Linked DNA regions of Arabidopsis thaliana. The protein of the gene in region 1 interacts with the protein of each later gene in a pairwise test. Each region holds a gene or a part of one and is shown on either strand. Other genes may lie near its edges.

Region 1 (8,900 bases):
TTGAACAGCTGAATCAACAATCTACCATGATTATCACTGTGAATCAAATGTAGAATGCCTACACCCATACGAAAGGCATAAAAATCTTGGTTAACAAGGAATAACTAATAGCCAGACAAGAAGAAAAAGGTTAAGACAATTAATGTCGTTGAAAACCTGTGTGGAGTTGCATTAATATTAGACCAAGGGAATTGGAGAGGGGCATAAATGATCCATATTTAGTAGATTCCTTGTACTCTGCCACTTGAAGGAAAATAGATGAAGGCCCATCCATCATGGTGGCAAGAGCTGACGCAGATGCAATCCTTACCTAGACATTGCAAGGTAAACAAAAAAGTATTGTCAGGATTCAGCAGTCATGAAGTTGAGCCACAAAAACATCTCTAGACATACTTGCTTAACCATAAAAGTTATTGGGAAGGTGAAAAATGAAGAACAGCATCGAAATATGTGCCTCAATTACTTGAAAAGGGACAAGAATAACCACCTTCAAATGAGGATCAAAAAGCAAGCAGGTCATTAGAGTAGCTTCAAACTTCCTGTTAATGATCTCGGAAAGTTAAGGAGACAAGAAAATACTACGGTATGGTGACAAAAGATGTTGTAGGTTAATTTTCCACCTTGGCTTGAGTACATCACTTGTTGGAAAGAGAGTCACCCACTGAGTGGTAAATGACTTTGAATCAGCCTGGCAAAGATCCTTAACAGGAAAAAAAGAAAATGAATAAGTAATTGTCACTGAAAAGTTAAGTAGAAGATGAGAACCAACTAAGAATAATACATTGTTACTCACCTGTATGCAAACAATTGCAGCTATTCTAACCTTGGAGCTTTGGGCAAAATAAGAATCCGGTACGGAGCCGTCACTGTCACTAAAATCGGAATCTGATGATATAACATCAGAACTACCAGAATCATGAGCAGATAGGCGCCGCCAGCTTGAAGACACTGGCTGCCTAGTGTTCAAATCATCCCTCTTGCGCAAGTGGGGTGGCCTATAAGGAGTATTCTTGGCATTCTTACTTACTCCAGAAATCAATGGAGAAAGCTTGACATTCAAATGCTTATCGTTGTGAACAACATCAGAAACTGATAACTGAGGTGGGCCAGTAAGTCCAAAACAGAAAAACATTCTCAATGACGCTATGAAACTTAAGACCTGCAACATTTAAAAAATCTGCTTAAACAAAGGAAAAAAGTCTGATATGGAGGTTAAACCAGAAAATCACTTATCCAAGGCTAAGAGGAGGAGCAAAGGGTATCAAGAACCCACTTACGTGATCAGAAACAGGACATTTGATATTTGTAAGGACCTCGTGCACACAGCCTAGAAGGCATGAATAAAAGCTGTAGAAAATTAAGAAATGAATATTACCTAAGAGGGCAACAAGTCTAATAGAACCCAGAAAAAAAGGAGTAAATTGTAGTCTCCACAAAACCAAAGGCATATACCTCCACATGAATCGGTCTTCGACAAGCTGGCCCTTAGATGCTAATACGTCCATTACTTTCCTTAGAACCTATATGAGAATTCACCAAGTTGAGAAACAAAGCATATGAGAGAAATGAGAGGATCGATCAGTGAAGGGGAAGATTACCTCTAGCGTGCATTGGGAGACGTCAGTAGGAAACAAAGACTCAGATAGAGAAAATGCTCTACCAAACATGTCAAAGGCAAGAGCCATGGAATCCCATAAGCGATTCTGTTGAGGCAGTTTCTTTTCCACAAGTAAAGTAGGAGAAGGGTCTTGATTTGAGAAACCATAGGATAAAACTAAATCCTGGTGTAATAAAGGAACTACGCGCACAAGAAACTTGACTAGATGAATGTTCTCCGGATGCATAGGGGCCAAACGTCTGGGAAAAGGAAGAGGAGATTACGAATAAGGTTTAAACAATGTCAGCAAGATTGTGAGAAGATATATAATAACCTTAAAGTCTCGAAGCATTGGATCACAGGTTCGATTCTGGAGAAATAGGCAGCGGAATAAGGTGAAGAAGGCATGGGTTGGCGAAGAAGAAACTCCAAGACAGAAGCAAAAGAGTGAAGAAGGAGCGGCCATGACGAAGAATTTAGTTGGAAAAGTAGACGAGCACAAACATCGTGAATCTGGATTAATAAAAAGGAGGAGAGATCCCATTAATAACAAGGAAATGATGGGAGGAGAGAAGGAGAAGACGCACCAGTTGACAAGTATGACGAGAGACAGGGATCCAGTCAGGACCATCAGCTTTGGAAACCAAATCGAGCAGGAACAAGCAATCGGAAGTGAGCTCGTGCAGTGGGAGGTGAGAGACGGCAGAGATAAGGGAATGGGATTGAGAGAAGAGTAGATCCTCGAGCAACAGAGGAACCGGCGGCGGTGGAGTGGTTGAGATTTCGTCCCTGAGAGAGAGAAACGCCGTCCGCCACCTTCCCACGCTTGACGAAGCTGCCGCCGTGAACATGTTTCAGTCTCCCGGGAAAAAACTAAGCAATCAAAAACGAGAACGACGAGAGACAGACAGAGAGACGCTTAATAGTCTTAAAGGGATTTACATTTTTTTAATTTAGAGTTAGAAATCAATTGTGTTACAGGAAAACATCTTCTCCACCCACTTCACTAGTTGATGATGTTCATTGCTGCGTTTAGCACATCAATTCTTTATTTTTTTGGGGTGGGCAGACGCAGATCTCTTCGGCCCAATCAATAAATATATAGCAAAAGGAATAGCTCGTCTTGTCATATCATATCATCATTCAGACATGCAACGAATAAATACATATCCGTGCTCAATCCTCTAAAACAGAGGAGTGCTTACAACAACAACAACTCCAGAAACTTAACTAGCAACATTTGATAGACAGAAAAAGTAGCAAGAAATTAGAAGCTCCGAGTCTTATGTTTTAGGAGGAAACGCCTGCTCCGCCCCACCCTTGTTTGTTCCTTCCTCTTCCATTTTCACACTTGCTTCCTCCACTCCCACTGGGTTTACTCCTGTAACCTGCAATCAAAACTAACCACTTTAGAAAACCACCATTCCCACCCTTTTCAGCCCTGTCCACTGCTTCATTTTACCTTAGTGCTTCCACTCTCATCCACCTCCACCTCACAACCTTTTCCACGCTCCATAATTCCTTTCAGTCCATCCTGCACGAACAACATGCCATGATAAATAAATTAATCTCGGAAGAAAAGGAGACGGCTTTAGGAATTGAGAGGCAGAGATGATTCAGCTCAGCTTGGCTAGACGGTCACACTATCTAATCAGGTCAATTGTTGGAGCTGGGAGCATACTAAATAAATAGCCTAGGCTAAATGATTTAACCGTAGCTAAAGATTCGCTACCCTCATGTGAATGTATCTCCAGCTTAAACTAACTGACTTAATGTCAGAATGAGACTCATTCTGGAATCTTTAGGTTTTGGGTCTCGGGATGAGAAAAAGTGTAATGTTATCAGAGCACATTGTGCTGTTCTGGAAAATGCTGTAAACCTAGATGAACTAATGACTTCAAATGTTTGTACCAGAAAAAGTGTCTGAGAAATCGAAACAATTAAGAGATAATGCTGTAGTACCTTGTCCTTTGTATCTGGTTCAACAGCTTCTCTTTTTACTCTGCTTGGTATAGGTTTACTGCACAATGCGATCCCACATTAAGTAAACATTACACCGCTGACTCGAACCAAAAATAAAAAGGGGAGGAAACATATATATTTCATACCGGTCATCATCAACATCCATGTCTGAATCCGGATCCCATCTTTTATCCCCATCTTCTTGGTCTTCATCAACCTATAATTTACATAGAAGGCATATTTTACAAAACTAAGATTGGTAACAACCAGAGTCATCAATCAAGGAATACTTATACATATCTAACTGGACGAACATTATTTACCAGCCCAGCTGTTTAAATTAGAAAATTCTTATTGTAACTGCAGTTACACTTAGATAAGCTCACCAAAACCCATGAGGAAATGCAAGAAAGAATGGGCAACAGAAATAAAGGAGCCAACACACTTCAAATGATTTGCTCAAGTGGCATACCTCGGGAGTCTCTGTATCAGGTGGTCTTTCCTGAAATGGTACACTTGGAGCATGCTGAAGCTTAGAGAGATTGTGGAGAAGGTCATTGCGAATCTCTTCAAGCATCTGACGAGAATTCTTATTTTCCATGTTACTTGGAGCAACGTGAAGTGTATAGTCTGGACCAAAGTATTCATAATATTCATGCTCCGGCATCTTGTCTTCAACTTCAACTCCAAGTGCAACTCCAGTCTGTCATATAAACAGTTTGTTGTAATAAATTCAAAGAAAGAGAGGCGTCACAGAGGGCTAACCTTGGTACAGAGACCAAGGAAATTTCAATGCAAAGCTAGAGCAGCATAAAATGAACAGAAGAAAGTACCTCGTAGCACCAGCAACGGGCAACATTGCGGATAGTGTAACCACCACCACCCAAGAGCAGTAGGGGAACATTGAACGATCTCATAAATTTGACGCACTCAGCATGACCTTTGATTGAAAGATTAAAGCACCCCAACCTATCACCAGACAATGAATCAGCACCACATTGCAATACCACAGCCCCTGGTCGGAAAATTTCCATAACTTTCCCCATGATGGGCTTGAATAACAGATGATAGCTCTCATCATCGATTCCATCATCCAGTGGTACATTGAGAGAATAGTACTTTCCGCTACCATAACCTATATCCTGAATGTGACCTGTACCGGGAAAGTAATCACCAAATTTATGAAACGAGACAGTCATAACCCTGTCAGTAGCATAAAATGCCTCCTCCACTCCATCCCCGTGGTGGATATCAATATCGACATAAAGAACACGCTGCAAACGAGAGAGGAAGAGTTAGAGATTCAGAAACGACATAACCATCCCTAGCATATATCAAAACGGTGCAGGTGGACAAACCTCATGCTGCTTAAGGAGCTCTAGGATAGCTAAGACGATATCATTGACGTAACAGAAGCCAGAGGCCTCGCACTTCTTAGCGTGATGGAGACCACCAGCCCAGTTGATGGCAATATCGCAGAGGCCGTGGTTAAGCTTGACAGAGCCACCAACAGATCCTCCAGCATAGGTCTGGCAAAAGGAATAAAGGCCGTCAAAGACGGGACAGTCTTCACCAACATTGAAGCGCTTAAGTTGGCGAATCTGATCTTGCTGGGTTTCAGGGGTAATGCTGCGGAGAAAAGAGACATAGTCGTCGGCGTGGAAGCGGCAGAGATCACGGTCGCGGGCAGGGAAGGGCTTGAGAACCTGCATATGCTGAAGGAGACCGTAGTGAGCGAGGAGGGCATGGGTCATGCGGATGCGATGGGGCTTCATGGGATGACCTTGGCCATAGTAGTAATTGCCGACCTCAGGGTCATAGAAATAACAAACTTTCCTCTTCACACCATCAGGTCCGGACGCCAGCGAATTGCCGCCAGTATCCATTACCTCTGCACGCACGCCGATCCATAAAAATTATATTATTAAAAAATGATAACTAAACCCTAGCCGCGGAGTAGCTGAGCCATGGACGCGTTTGAATGACAACAACAACATTTTTTTAAGTTACGAAAAAATCAAATCTAGTGTGCAGAAGAGACAGGAAGGCGAGTGAAAGATATTAAAAGACGGCGAGGCTAGACAGACGCCGGAAAATGGAATCACGCAGACAAGGAAGAGAGTCTGACTGACCTTTTTCGTAGGATCAACGGTGTGTTGTAATCACAGTCGCAGTCAAATGGTCGGAGGAGAAGCTGCGATGATCTCTCTCTCTCTCTCTGGCTTTCTTCTTCCTTCCTCCTCGCCGAGGGGAAGGGAGCTGCTCTCTGCTTTGCTTTCAGATTTTCTTTCACCTCTGACTGAAACTGTAGCCTACTTACTCTTCTCTTCCAACTTTTTCTACTTTCAGTTTATAATGGAAAGGCCCACTTTTAATCTGTTATGGTTTAAAATGAGGCCCACTTTTAATGTGTTTTAAAAATAAGGCCTATTAAGTTGCCTTTAGCCCGTTTACTTAATGGTCTTACGCAGAGTAACAAATCAATTAGGAAACAGAGCACTAGAGCAGCAGTAGGCACTAGGCAAGGCTGGTAAAACTAAACTCGTGCTGCTTTTGTCTCTGTTTAGTACAGTATATCATAAAACTGAGTAATCCACAAAATCTTGATTGAAAAGGAGATGGAGACAATATGTGCTTGGAAACTAAGACAAAATACATGTTAAATAAAGAATGGGTGTGTTAACAAGGAAGCTAGGCTACAAGTATCCAAGTAGATGGAGAAAGATACAGAAAAAGAAGAAGATAGAGAGATACAAGGTGGAAGAGGAGTGTGCATTATTGACATTTTGTGTAGGAGGAGTTGGAGCCAATACAAATGATCTGCAGAGAGGGCAAGTGAGGTGGCCACGGAGAAGCCAAGGTTCTATGCAATTGATATGGAAGAGATGAGCGCATCTGGGAAGATGGGTCACCGCATCCTCAGCCTCAAACTCCACCAGGCATATGGGGCAGCAAATTTCCTCCTCCTTTTCCTTGTCCCCAAACATCACTCCCACTAGGTTGTAACCGTCATCATCATGCGCATCCGCATCTCCACCATTCTTCTTCAACCTCCCCAAGGGAATGCACACACATGTGTAGAATACTATGGCTGCTGTGCACAAAGGCGACCGCGGAAACAACATTGAAATCATCTTTCTCCAGCTTTCTGCTTCTTTACCTCATTCCTTCCCTCTCTTTTATAGACTAATATCATCGAGTAGGGACGGCGCCGACCCCACCTCCCATCTCTTATTATATTCTTTTGTTGTTTTTCTTTAATCAAGTCAGCGATTCTCCCAACTCCAAGAAAACTCTTGGAGAGGTTATGGTCAACATACGAGATGCACATGCTTCCATCTTAAGCACTACCTGATACTTGCATTTAACAATAGTAAACAATACAAGAATCACATGACGCCAAAAGTAAACAAACAAAAGATGGCATTCATATCCAGTGTATTATTTATATATATATTAAAAGTAAGGAGTCATTCTTCCATCAAGACAGGCCTTGACTTCCGAGTTCACGAATATAATACAGCCGACCAAATCAAGTAAAGATCTCCGAGTGAATCATAAAAACTATTTTAATGTTGACTCCACGCATTTTGTATTCAATATAGCGCCAGCTTCTACAGAACAGACCTCCACGTCCCTGAGATCAGCAGTGCCTTTGGAGGATGATGTAGTTTTATGCCTGGTGTATGTAACCAATGATACTATTGTTCATATTTGTTCATGAAGTCGGCCACATTTGCAATAGACAGTCACATACATCATTGGTAATGACTGATAAGCGTCAAGCATAATTTGACACCCTATACCGCCAACACAACGCTATTCATTGAACTTGCAATCAATATTAGAATGCATGAAAACAGGGAACTACATCTACAACTACACATTTTTAAAGGACATAGGAAAAAAAAAAAAACTCGATACCTGACTCCAAGCAGAAAAAGGAAGACTCATATTGATTTTCACTTTCAAGGTTGTTATTACAAGTCAAGAAAACATCTTACTGAGACGGCATACTTAACAGCACTGCGTAAGTAAATCAGAAGGGTTTCTCGGTTGGTTTCTTCTTGAAGATGGCTTCCCAAGCCAAAGACGGAAATGGAGCCCTTTTATCCATGAACTCCTTGACAGCCTTAACATTAACGGCAAATCCTTTTTGGTTTAAGGTATCAATAGCGGACTGGGCTTGTTCAACCCCCTTTACTCTGCACAAGGCATCAACCAATTCAACGAAAGTGGGGACGTTAGGAGAGTGACCAGACTCAAGCATCTCACTACAGAAAGCAACAGCATCGTCAAGCATGTTGCAATTATACAATCCCTGAACCAACACACCGTAGCTGAAGGCATTAGGGGCAATCCCATTGTTCTGCATTTTCCTGAAAATCCTCTTAGCGTCTTCAATTTTATGAGCCTTGCAAAAGGCCTCAACGACAGCAGTGTAGATAACGACCTCAGGGATTGTACCCTTGTCACGCATCAATCCGAAAAGCTTCATGGCCTCTTGTACAAGCCCATCTTTGCAGAGGCCGTCAAGCATGGCGACGGCGTTAGGGATGAGACCTCCTTCCTTCATCTTCTTGAAGATCTCATCGGAATCCTCAGGCGGCGGTAAGGGCTCCTGCGGGTATTGTTCCGGTTTGGGGGTTTCCCGTGAATCCTGATTGACTCCAAGCTTGAACTGTTCGAGGAAGCCATCGTCAGACAGAGTAGTATCACTCTTTCCAAGGTTGTGGGCTTGTCTAGCGGGTGGTTCTCTGTGAGAGTTGGAAGATCTCTCCCCTCGCAAGGGTCTGTTGGGTAAGGGCTCTGGAGGGTTCTGCTGCTCGTCTACTTGACCATTGTCGCCCGTTGAGAGAAAGCGTGTTGCGGACATCGACGGCGTCGTAACACGAATCTGCTTCGCCATCTGCCTTGCAAAAACGACGGCTTTGGAGGAAGGCACCATCGTTATCTGCCGCTGATTCGAAAAGTTAGGGTTTTGCAGATTTTGACGGAGAGAGAAGAAGGGGAGGGTTTAGTCACGCGAGAAGGATTGAGGGATATAACAGTCATTTACTCTACAGGGGGTATAAGAAAGAAAGAAGGTCCTCACTCCTCCGTGTGGATAAGCTTCTCACTTTCAGTTCAATTGGATAGCCGGAAAGGCTCTCCTCCAAGGTAAATTCCTCTCTACTTCCTTGTTAAAGCTCGAATCATCTCTAAGTTAAGCAAAATTGGTGTGTTGTAGTGGCGTTTATATGGAGGTGACAAATACGAGCAGCATCATGTGGTTCTTCAGGGACAAAGGTTTCGATGATCCGAGTATCGACAAGATGTTGAGAAAATGCAAACAGTTGGA
Region 2 (6,454 bases), on another chromosome or scaffold:
GGCTGCGTCGCCGACGTCAACGCGGTTTGCCCTAACGAGCTTCGGCTCATGGATCCACATACAGGAATCATCGCGGCGTGTAAAAGCGCTTGTGCGGCGTTTAATTCTGAGGAGTTCTGTTGTACCGGTGCTCACGCGACGCCGCAAACTTGTTCTCCGACGCATTACTCGGCGATGTTTAAAAGCGCTTGCCCTGGTGCTTACAGTTACGCCTACGACGACGCCACGAGCACCTTCACTTGTACCGGCTCTAACTACTTGATCTCTTTCTGCCCCACCCGGAACTAAAAAACAGGAGCTCCGGTTCAGATTTCACGTTTCTTTTGCTTAATAGCACTTTGGTTCATATTTTTCCATTTTAAAGATTTTTCTAGTACTCAGTTGTTACATTCATTTCATTGGCATTGTTGTTTTGATTTGTATCTTGTTTTATATTTTACAAAGTATTGATTTTGCATTACCTATTTTATTTGAGATCTGGAAAAACAAAGATGGAGGCTTCATTAGAGATTTTCTTTGTTTCATATCATTTTGTTCTTGATGGACCTAATTACATGAGAGAGCAATAACAACTACTAGTGTTTACCAAAAGAGAGAGAGCTAAACTATTTACCCAAACTTTTTAAGCCGCGGAATGATTAAAACATGTGACCCGCGCAGATATTTGTTAGTCTATTAAAGGAGATTTAGCTGATGCAGTTAAGGATCAGTGTTTCTGGCTTCTTTGGTCTTCCACTTGGCAAGCCTTCTTCATTCCTGTTGCAGCCTGAACGAATCCCACAATAACCTGAAGCTCATCCATTTGCTGTAAACAAGAACATGTCTCAGACTAATCCAAAATCAGAAGACAACATTCACAAACATATCATAGCTTTGATGTCTACCTGAGACATGAAGTGTCTCTGAATAATGTCAATTAGTTGCTCCTTTGTGGGATTCGGAAGAGCATCCACCTATACGAAAAAGAGATCAATGAATCACCTGTTGTAAAAAACAAAACACTCTCTTCCACAATAATCAGTAACATAAGATTGTTTCTTTTGAACTCACGAGGTTAAAATGTCGCCAATATCTCAGTAATGCAGCCATATCCAACTTGGTAAGATCAACCTTCTGCGTTAAAACAATATTCCCAAATCAGTAACACATAGCATTAACATGAAAACCCCCACCAAGTAGAAGAAATTTGAGGCCTTACCATGTTCAGACGAGGAGTAATACTCGAGATTTTTGAGTGTGAGTCACAAGAAACTTCCCTGTACAAAGCCTTTTGAGATAACCGCGATGATCTGTGTCCTCTCTTCTTCGACTTATGAGGCTTCAAAGTGTCCTCAGTTGCTGCAAAAGACAATCAAAGAACGGTCTTTATGAAACATTTCAAAAAGACTAAAATTTGGTACTTTATTGCAGAGACAAGGAACCAAACTTACTCATATCGGAGGGATGATTCCACTGTGTAGAATGGTCGACTTCAAGATCATTGTCTTCTTCGTTCCCTGTAGGATGTTCAAGAACACTAAGCGCATTCCTCTGCAACTTCACTTCAATTCCATTAGTCAAAACCTGAAAATTTAAAGCAAAAAGGACAAAGATTAAAAATTGAACTCCACAAACAAAGTAAAGTTTGGGACTTTTTGAGAAATGGGAATGGTTGGAGACAAGAAGTGGTGGAATTTGATATCGATATTAGTAAAAAAAAAAATGATGCTTTGGGTTATGAGGAAATCGTATAAGATACTGATTTTTATTGTATAGCTAGAGAAATGATCAAAAAAGGATCAAAGAAAGTAAAATTGATAATATAAAAACTAGGAAGCCTAATGAAACGGAGAACATCTATAAAAAGTTTAACATTTTTCAGTGGATGAAAATGACCAATCTGAAAAAGAAAGAACAAAAACCCTAAATATTATTAATTAAAGTATATCAAAATTAGTGACTACAAGTAAAACAAATCTAAAAGCCAGCTTGAACCCACAAAGATAAGGATTCTCAAGGAATTGATTGAGAAAAAGTAACACAAAAGTTAAAAATAAATATAAAAAGTGCAGATCGTTATGATGCAATTTAACAAAATAAAGTTATGATATTTTAAGAACAATCAATCTAATCGGTAACATAGAACAACCATTGATTTTATTGCATTATTGAGCTAATGATTCTGGATCTTTTGTTAATCAGTTTTTAAAAATCTACTCTACTGGGGGAATAAAAACACAGACAGACACAAAGATGCAAAAAAGACAAAACGAGGTAAAGAAGAAAGCGAAGTTGATCTTTGCTCACCAGCCAATGCCAACCACCGAGTCCGACGGCTTTCTTAACGACGCCTTGAAGACCGACGAGAACAGATTTGGTACGGTTGTTTCCAGTAACGACAACTTTGGTATGACGTGGCAACACTGACAATTCTTCTTCGCTACTGCAATCGCCGAAGCAACTCTGTAGCTGAGAGAATCCTCCTCCTCCTCCATTGAGGATGCTTGACTTGTTCACCGGAGCTTCCAGCATTTTGTGTTTTCTCTCTCTCTCGTTTTTTCCCTCTCTATTATCAGAAAGTACCACAAGCTTTTTTACGATCTCGGAAATGGAAGTTGGTGCATTTTGTGAAGGATTGAGAAATGGAGTAAGAGAGAAATCGAGCTGAGAAATTAGGGTTTGTTTTTGGTCTGATGAAGAAAGACAGAGTAAGAGTGAGAGAAGAAAGAGGAAAAAGCAGAGTGTATTATGATGAGTAAGAGAGAGAAAGATAGAGATACAGAGGAGGGAAGGGAAGGGACGATAGGCGATAGCGACCGCCTTCCTATCGTGACCAATAAGGTATCAACACGTGTGTTTTGTACTTGTATCATTTGCACTGTGGAAATTGAGCGGTTTTTTCATGGATGGGTACCAAAACCTTTTTTTGTTTTTTACCGAGAGCTTTTTTACTTTTTACTCTCTAATAAAGATGAATTCATTTGTTGGAAAACTTGTATTACTTTTTACTCTTTATTCACTGTATTACTTGTCTTGTCTTGGTTGTGAAGATTTAGATTTTGTAAAAACGAAATTGAAACAAAAAAGAAAGGAGTGGATACGTTTGGTTAATTTGTATGAAACATTTTGGGTACTAATTTGTATTGGAATCTGAGATTGATGCTTTTAGAGGGTTTTAAAATGATCAAAAAAGGAAAACGAGGGCCACACTTCGTAAATTTTGTGTAATGTCTACACGCGATCGACGTGAATATGAATGGTTGACTGGGTTTTTTCAAAATAAAAAAAAAGTCAGGAGTTATGGGGCCCATGCATGCGTAAGTTACGATTATACCCCTATTGTTTATTTGTTTTCGTTCCTCTCCAATGTAATTTGAATTTGAAATCACGCCTCTATTAAATATGTCATCGTATAATGTCCATATTGAACATTTAACTAAACTAAAACAATGTTCATGGAGTGATTCTTAAGCCAACATTTTTTCTTGTTCAAGACATAGCATTTTGTAAGTTTGATGGTTTAAAGTAATGTACTTATTGTCCAAAACGAGTTAGCTAGGTAACATGGAGTTAATCGGAAAAACAGAACATATTTCCAAAAAAAACATACTTAACACATAATCTACTTATTATCACAAGTAGGTTACTAGTGCCAAACCAAAGAAGAAAACCCCTAAATTCCTTTTAATGCTAGAAACGAAAGCTGGTATTAAGATTTAACTGATGATTTAAAACGTATCACCAATAATTAACACATAATCGCTCGATTAGCAACAAAGTCGTTGTAGTATAGTGGTAAGTATTCCCGCCTGTCACGCGGGTGACCCGGGTTCGATCCCCGGCAACGGCGATTACTTTAGTTTTGCCTAATTCATCGAACCCTCTGATTCATTCCAAATGTTTCCCAACTCGCGTTGATGGTTCGGGTTCCTCTGCTTTTAAGACATTAGTTACATGCTCCTGCACTTTCTACAAAATAAACGTCATAATCCAAAAATATTACATGATCATACATCATATATGCCGCCGAACCTTGTTATGGGACAAACTCGTAAACCCCTTTTTCCTTTTATGTTCAATGAACTATACAAGTTTTGGTTATGAATACATAAATAATGATGGACCCAGCAATTAATCCAAAATTTGGATATTAGATACTAAAGCTTAAAATCAACATGTAACCAAACTAAATACTTTATAGAACATAGTAAATGGTATTCACCAATCTTTATATCATTTGTAAGGTACGAAGAAGGTAAAAAAAAGAGAGAGCCAGTGTACATACAACTAATCAGGACAAAAGTAGTCAAAATTGTTTCTAAAGTGAGATTTGTATGCAAGAAAAAAGTGATAATTTTTAATTGAATATATCATTATGATGTTAATCACACGGCTTCACTGTATAAAATAAAATTTTAAAAACCAATCAAATGGTGTGTTTTTCGGTCACACAAGTAAGGGACCCACACTGAAGAAACGGTCCCACTGTGTCTCCTCCTTTCTTTTCTCTGTATTATTTGGTCATTACTCATTTTACATACTCACAGAAAAAAAAAAAGATTAGAACATAAACACACGTTACTAAGCGTAGTTATCCTCTGCACCTTAACATACACCTCTTATATTCACCTCACGTAATCTCACCCTTCCAAAACCATGTATTTACACGTGGACGATCGATACACAAGAACAATGATTCTTAATATGAACTCAATGTACTTGAACACACACACGACCCAATTTTTACATTAGATGAAAAAAATATTATTATTTGTTGGAGAAGAAAGAGAGATTCTTCTTCTTCGATTCCAGCGAAGGAAAAGCGTATTCCTCGTGAGCACTAACTTCTCACTCCTCTCTTCTTCTTCTTCATCAGTCTACGTTCACACAATCTTTCACCCACCTATTCAAAGCTCTCTCCGGAAGTTTCGAGGGGTTGGTTGTTGGTTTTCCCGATGACTTCGGATGGAGCTACGTCGACATCAGCAGCTGCAGCTGCGGCGGCGGCAGCAGCGGCGAGGAGGAAGCCGTCGTGGAGAGAAAGGGAGAATAATCGGAGGAGAGAAAGACGGAGAAGAGCTGTAGCTGCGAAGATATACACTGGGCTTAGAGCTCAAGGTGATTATAATTTGCCTAAACATTGTGATAATAATGAAGTCCTTAAAGCTCTTTGTGTTGAAGCTGGTTGGGTTGTTGAAGAAGATGGTACTACTTATCGCAAGGTGAAGACTTTCTCCATTTTTTCCAGATCTGAGCTTGTTTTATTGATGTTTTTGATGTTTGAATCTGAATTCGTTGATTTCAATTGTGGTTAAATGGGTTTGAATCTGAGAATTTGAGGGTTTTCTCAAAGTGAATTTGAATCATCAGAAACTATGGATGGATCTGATTTCTCAAAGTGAATTTATGGGTTTTCTTTCTAATTTTAGAGTTATTATTGGTATGCTAAAGTCTTAATCTTTTATGTATGATACTTGGTCCAAAGTCATTGCATTGTGTTTCTTTTGCTTACCTGTGATTGATTGATGTTTGATTGGTTATTGTTTTGCTTTTGTTGGAGTATCAGGGATGCAAGCCTTTACCTGGTGAGATAGCTGGGACTTCATCTCGAGTAACTCCATATTCATCACAGAACCAGAGCCCTCTTTCATCAGCCTTTCAAAGTCCCATCCCATCTTACCAAGTTAGCCCGTCTTCTTCATCATTCCCGAGTCCTTCTCGCGGTGAACCAAATAACAACATGTCCTCTACATTCTTCCCTTTCCTCAGAAATGGTGGCATTCCTTCTTCTCTTCCTTCCCTCAGAATCTCAAACAGTTGTCCAGTTACCCCACCGGTCTCATCGCCGACTTCTAAGAACCCGAAACCGTTGCCTAACTGGGAATCTATCGCTAAGCAATCCATGGCCATTGCTAAACAATCAATGGCGTCTTTTAATTATCCTTTCTATGCGGTTTCTGCACCTGCTAGTCCGACACATCGCCACCAGTTTCATACCCCGGCTACTATACCTGAATGTGATGAGTCTGACTCTTCCACTGTTGATTCTGGTCATTGGATAAGCTTTCAGAAGTTTGCACAACAACAGCCATTCTCTGCCTCTATGGTGCCAACCTCTCCTACCTTCAATCTTGTGAAACCTGCGCCTCAGCAGATGTCTCCAAATACTGCTGCCTTCCAAGAGATTGGTCAAAGCTCTGAGTTTAAATTTGAGAATAGCCAAGTTAAACCCTGGGAAGGAGAGAGGATACATGATGTGGGTATGGAGGATCTTGAGCTTACACTTGGAAATGGGAAGGCTCGTGGTTGACATAAACAACTAGGCAAACCCAAATGGCATGTCATTGGAATATGAGAAACTAATCCTCTTGAGTATTTTCTTCTTCGTCCAGGTATTTGGATCTTTATGGAATCTCATATGTTCTTCACTTATTATCCAAATATGCTGCCCAAAGCCTTCTCCATGGAAGCATTG
Region 3 (5,093 bases), on another chromosome or scaffold:
AGAAGTGACGAAAAACATGTTATCCTGCGTGCCGATGAAACAAACAGCTTCAAAAATTTGTGCCAAACACAAACTTTAGCAAGTTTTTTAAATTAAAAAATCTTGTTTAAATTTGTAGTTATGTTACTGTGGCGAAACTCCGGCGGCTGTAGACAGTGGTCCAACGAGTGAAAACCCTAGCTCAAACAAATTTTCGTTTTTTTTTTTGGTCCTAGTTTGATATGTGTGCTCGGTCGCTCGATGAAGCTCATAGAGACACGAGCATTGTCTCATGCTTAAATGCGTACCATAAGCCACTTGCAAAGAATGATTGTTTCTCTGGATTCAAACATTGGGTACTAGCTAGGTACTGTTCAATGTAGAATAAATCCACCAAGTCTAGATCTGCTTCAACGTCACCCTCTTTTCTTATAAAAGAGTAGTATACATATATTATCACATAAATGTCCGCTGATGGTTGAAAGGTACTAGAAAACTTTACTCAAAGGTTTGTTTATGAAAGATTCCCGTATGTATAAAATTGGAAAAGCTGGCAACAACAGTACAACCTTCATGTATTATTGTAGGTTAATATGATGAGTACTCAAACAAAATCACCAAGTAGAGATTGAAACATATTACATGGAGATGTATAAGACTATATATATATATAGAGGTTTTTAGGATTAAAGAAGCTATATATGTATGATGATAGAGCTGAGGGATATAGTGTCATGATGATAAGTCGTGAGATGTCCAGAAAGGATTAAACTCGAAAGCCTCCACGGCGAGGGCAACCTCGGACGACATCCACTGGGATGGAGACCAATCTTCTGCTATCACCGGTTTCATGTATTCATCTTTGATGCGATCCTGATGATTCTGATGTTGGCGGAGGTTAGAGGTGGAGGAGGAGAAGCTGATGTTGGGGTGACCGAATCGGATCATGTGGGATCCCTCGTGCTCTTCGAAGTCAGATGTGTCAATGGGGAAAGTTGCATAAGCTTGATGAAGCTGGCATATGTGCTGGCCGAAGTAAGTGGTTGAGTACAATGGAGGATTGTGTTGGATCTTTTGAACCTGCTTCTTTGCTTCACAGTTCTGGTCCTTGGTGTAGGCACACTTGTAGTAACTCCTTTGGTACTCAGATTCTTTGATCTGCTTTTGTCCGTATTTCCTCCAGAGGAAGCCGTCGTGGTAGATCGGGGTTGAAGATTCGTGTCTATGGTAGTCTGAGCTCTCTGCCATAGATGTCTTTCTGCAACCACATGAGATTCATGATGGTGAGCAATCACTCAAAGATAGAACATTTTCAATTTATGAATATGATGTTTATATTCATACCTTCCCCTCTTGTGAAGTGGTTTCCTGGAGCTCTCAAGCACAGGAGAAGAGTCCTGAGGAGATGAGTTATTGGATTGATCGTCTTGGTGGTCATTAGTATCGATCAAGATGGAGAGCGCATCTGAGAAACAATGGAGGACGGACTTGGCCAAATCCTCCCTTTCCATGGACGAGTCTGACTCGGTCTGGTCCATGATGAGCAGCTGGTTGGCGCACCCATGCCCGTGAAGCAACTTCTCCATAGCCTTTTGTTGGCAAGAGTTCATCTTTTTTTGTTTTTTTTTGAGTAAATACTTATAATTATTGCTCTGTGGGTTTATTAAGTTTAGAGATGTGATCCATTGTGTCTCTCTCTCTTTAGATATATATACGAATAGGTCGAGAAGACGAGATAATGGTCTTGTTACGAAGTTTCGTACGTGTGAGAGAGTTTAGTCAATTACTATACACTCCTTCGTTAACCTCTCTATCGGATGTACTATTACGTAATTCGTATTAGCAATGTGCGGATTAATAAGTGGCCCCTCGAGAATATAAAGACAAAAAACAAACAAACAAGTAGGAGTATTACTAGTTGACTTACCCAACAACTCTTCTAATTATAAAGTTAGTTAATGAATTATGTGTAAACTCTTATCTAACAACCATGACTTCTTAGATCTCTAGTCTCTACTACTTAATTAGGTTCGCATCTCCAAATAATCAGTAATAAGTACTCCTAGAATTAGGAAAAAACCATCAAACAAGATTCCATATATCTATTTGATGTCGTCGCGTAAAATCAACTGAATAAAAAGTCCGTTTTGTTGTAAAATTGAGTAAACTCTCACAACGGTGGCGGTGAACGTATATAAGTCATGTGACACGGCACCTGAGAAGATGGAACGGCGAATAAACGGCCGTAGAAAAAGGAGGAGGCAGCCACTTTGAAAGGCGAGAGAGAGCTTCATCAAGAGTGACGTAGGGTTCGGTGACCTCATCTTACCTTGATGGCGTGACGTCATGGATAGTTGAATTATGGATGACAGATAATGCACTAATCAAATCTAATCTCATCAATCCAACGATGGATATCAACTGCTTCAAAAGTATTTCTGGTTTTGTAATATAATAAGCGTAATCCGCATGTGCTTGTTTAGATGTCTACTTATGTTTCTTTTCTTATACTAAATTAATGTCTAGATCTAGTACGTAACAGCTTCAACTTTTTATTTCTCTCTTACCCTTTTCTTCCTTTATTAGTATAAATTAGTAAAATAACCATTACACTAAGCTACATAAATCATAAATTAAAGTAGCCTTTGTTTCTGCTTCAATATCGGCGGCTCAGTTTCTTTCACCTTATTAGGTTGCGACTTTAATTTCCTCCATCACTAATATGTAACTTTAATTATACTATTGTTTACTGGACTTCCCTAAACTTGGTCGAATCCGGATTTGAGCCTCCCATTTTTATGTACGTTTAGATAATAGCTGGGATAACATGATCCCTCAAATCACGATGCTTGATGTAATTTTAAAAAAAAAATCTCGAATTCTCGCTGCTATATGTACGTGTTGGTGTTCTATACGGACCTTAAATGGTTAACTACATATATAAAGCAGCATTAATCAAATAATTCTTCAGAAATATAACCTGAGTACTTAAATATATCTTAATTATATGGCAGTAATACGCCTCATCCACTAGTTTCGGACGTTAACACGCATGTGAACTATCAACGGTGTCAGACTCCAACGGCCTTACTCTTACCCTTATTAGGTAACGTGCCCTAACGTTAAGTTTTTTTTTTCTTTCCCTAACGTTAAGCTCTCTCACGTTATAATGTTTATTGCTTAACCCTAGCTTGGATCCAATCTTCTCACCCAATATCGTCCGCTAAACGAAACTATAAAGCACTTTTCTTAACAATTAACATTTTTTTTTGTCAACGTGCAAAGTAGTATTTAGATGGTGAAGTAATAATACCTACGCTTCGTTTATATAGGTAATCACCAGTCAACAGTCGACGGTCAACCCACAAAAAAATGTAAATATAATCAAACAAATAATAAAATTGAGTTTAGTGCATAAAATGTATAAGCACGATAAAAACTATTGTAGGTAATTTTGCAAGTTTATATATACTAGGTGAGTACCAACGATACGCGTGGGTTGTTGTTTTGAAAATTGTTTAAAAACAATTATGTTTAACTATTTTTATTGCTAAATTTTGTTATTTTCTTATATGTTATTATGTAATTAATAAAATTATATTCATTTTATGTAATTATATTTGTATACTTAGATTCACTTTTGATTCAAAAATCAATTATATTTTTTTCATGTATAAATCTTCTTATCTATATACCCAAGATTCTAATCATTTTTTAACTATCATGAAATACTTATATCCTACTATATTATTTGGGAAGTACATTTTAAATGTAACCTTATTTTTTGTAAGTAATTACATAGGTATGCCATTAGAAAGAAAATTTAAAAAGTAAATTAATTCATCTCTTCAAAAATTAAAAAGTAAAATACTAATTTAATTAAAAAAAAAATACATTATTACTTTCTAAAAAAATAACCAATTAAAATCAACAAATTAGATTTGATATCTAAATTATCATATTAATTTTTTTATTAATTATTATAGTTCACCTCTCATCTTTATATGATTATAATTTTGCGAAATATCATCGTTATAAACAAATAATTAGATTTTTTTTGCATATACCATAATTTGAATTTTTAAAAATGAATATAAACTTTTCAATACATAAAAGAATATTATAACGGGTCAAAAATAGATTTAAGAAAACTTTCTACTGAGTACTGGGTCATAATTTGAATATTTATATTCAATTTCATATTTTATTTTTGAAATTCATAATTTTATATACTACAATAATTAATAACATATTAGATTTTTTATGTGTATGATGTGATTCAATTTTTAATACAAGCTGGAAAATCCTAGAATTGACAGGTTTAGATCGATATTAATATATACAAGATGGTATACTAAAGGTGAAACTCTAAAATTAACAATCAAAATACAAGTGTATAATTTTAAACACTAAACAATATAAATAATATCGACAAAACATATACAACTCGCAGTTTACTATACATTTAAAATCAAATAAAATAATATCATATATTTGTAATTATCTTTACAATAAAAGTTTTTAGTTTAACTAAAATATAAGCTTACCTGCGGTATACTGCAGGTTAAAATTATAAATAGGTAGATTACCATCACGATGTATGTACCTTCTCAGATACACACCTATCAAAAACTTAAAACCTTTCAAAATCTCTTGGTATATTCAAATTAAGATTCTTCATTCATGGAATCATTATTCCAAGGGTTTTGGGATGTCTTATGAATAATTTTGGCAGAAGAGGATGTAAAATTTTTTGAATAAAAAGTAGTCAGCAAAATATATGTTTTTTGGGGAGTTTTTAGATCATTAAATCAGAGAATAGGGCTGGCATATGAGTAACTCATTCGAGTTCGGGTAGAACCCGTTCGGGTTTGGGATTAATGGGTATATTATTTACTACCCAATAGAATAATTCTAAATATTTGGTTCTGGTTTGGGTCGGGTCCATTTGGGTTTGGGTCAGTTTGGATAAAAAGTTTCATGCCCTAAAAATACCCAAAAAATAGAAACGGGTATTTGTTTGTAGATAGAGGGTCTCCAAACAAAAAAAGCTTTTAAATTTGTTAAATTTTCATAAATTTAATTATATTTGAATATATTTTACTAAATTTTGA

The links. The genes of interacting proteins can lie anywhere in the genome.
Region 2: the proteins of HD1 (region 1) and AT1G75060 interact in a two-hybrid assay, tested with the Arabidopsis thaliana proteins (one study listed by BioGRID).
Region 3: the proteins of HD1 (region 1) and WRKY62 interact in binary tests that used the Arabidopsis thaliana proteins (3 or more experiments, as listed by UniProt).

What each region holds. Positions count from the first base shown.
Region 1 is NC_003075.7:17,893,613-17,902,512, forward strand, and holds HD1 (histone deacetylase 1), read right to left. Parts: upstream 5,898-8,900; 5' UTR 5,692-5,897; intron 5,451-5,691; 5' UTR 5,446-5,450; coding exon 4,918-5,445; intron 4,834-4,917; coding exon 4,393-4,833; intron 4,263-4,392; coding exon 4,032-4,262; intron 3,777-4,031; coding exon 3,706-3,776; intron 3,618-3,705; coding exon 3,560-3,617; intron 3,132-3,559; coding exon 3,060-3,131; coding exon of another isoform or gene 3,051-3,059; exon of another isoform or gene 2,986-3,050; coding exon 2,881-2,985; 3' UTR 2,666-2,880; downstream 1-2,665. Other genes in the region: AT4G38120 (ARM repeat superfamily protein), read right to left, coding at 1-58, 157-310, 488-539, 621-700, 794-1,159, 1,278-1,347, 1,453-1,520, 1,599-1,857 and 2 more; AT4G38140 (RING/U-box superfamily protein), read right to left, coding at 6,256-6,693; AT4G38150 (Pentatricopeptide repeat (PPR) superfamily protein), read right to left, coding at 7,599-8,507; pde191 (Mitochondrial transcription termination factor family protein), read left to right, coding at 8,800-8,900. UniProt on the Arabidopsis thaliana protein: Responsible for the deacetylation of lysine residues on the N-terminal part of the core histones (H2A, H2B, H3 and H4).
Region 2 is NC_003070.9:28,180,775-28,187,228, forward strand, and holds AT1G75060 (histone deacetylase complex subunit), read right to left. Parts: upstream 2,730-6,454; 5' UTR 2,512-2,729; coding exon 2,287-2,511; intron 1,564-2,286; coding exon 1,431-1,563; intron 1,339-1,430; coding exon 1,199-1,338; intron 1,114-1,198; coding exon 1,051-1,113; coding exon of another isoform or gene 1,018-1,050; exon of another isoform or gene 954-1,017; coding exon 885-953; intron 806-884; coding exon 707-805; 3' UTR 501-706; downstream 1-500. Other genes in the region: AT1G75050 (Pathogenesis-related thaumatin superfamily protein), read left to right, coding at 1-288; BZR1 (Brassinosteroid signaling positive regulator (BZR1) family protein), read left to right, coding at 4,935-5,201, 5,546-6,289.
Region 3 is NC_003076.8:350,425-355,517, forward strand, and holds WRKY62 (WRKY DNA-binding protein 62), read right to left. Parts: upstream 1,672-5,093; 5' UTR 1,590-1,671; coding exon 1,324-1,589; intron 1,238-1,323; coding exon 712-1,237; 3' UTR 501-711; downstream 1-500. UniProt on the Arabidopsis thaliana protein: Transcription factor. Interacts specifically with the W box (5'-(T)TGAC[CT]-3'), a frequently occurring elicitor-responsive cis-acting element.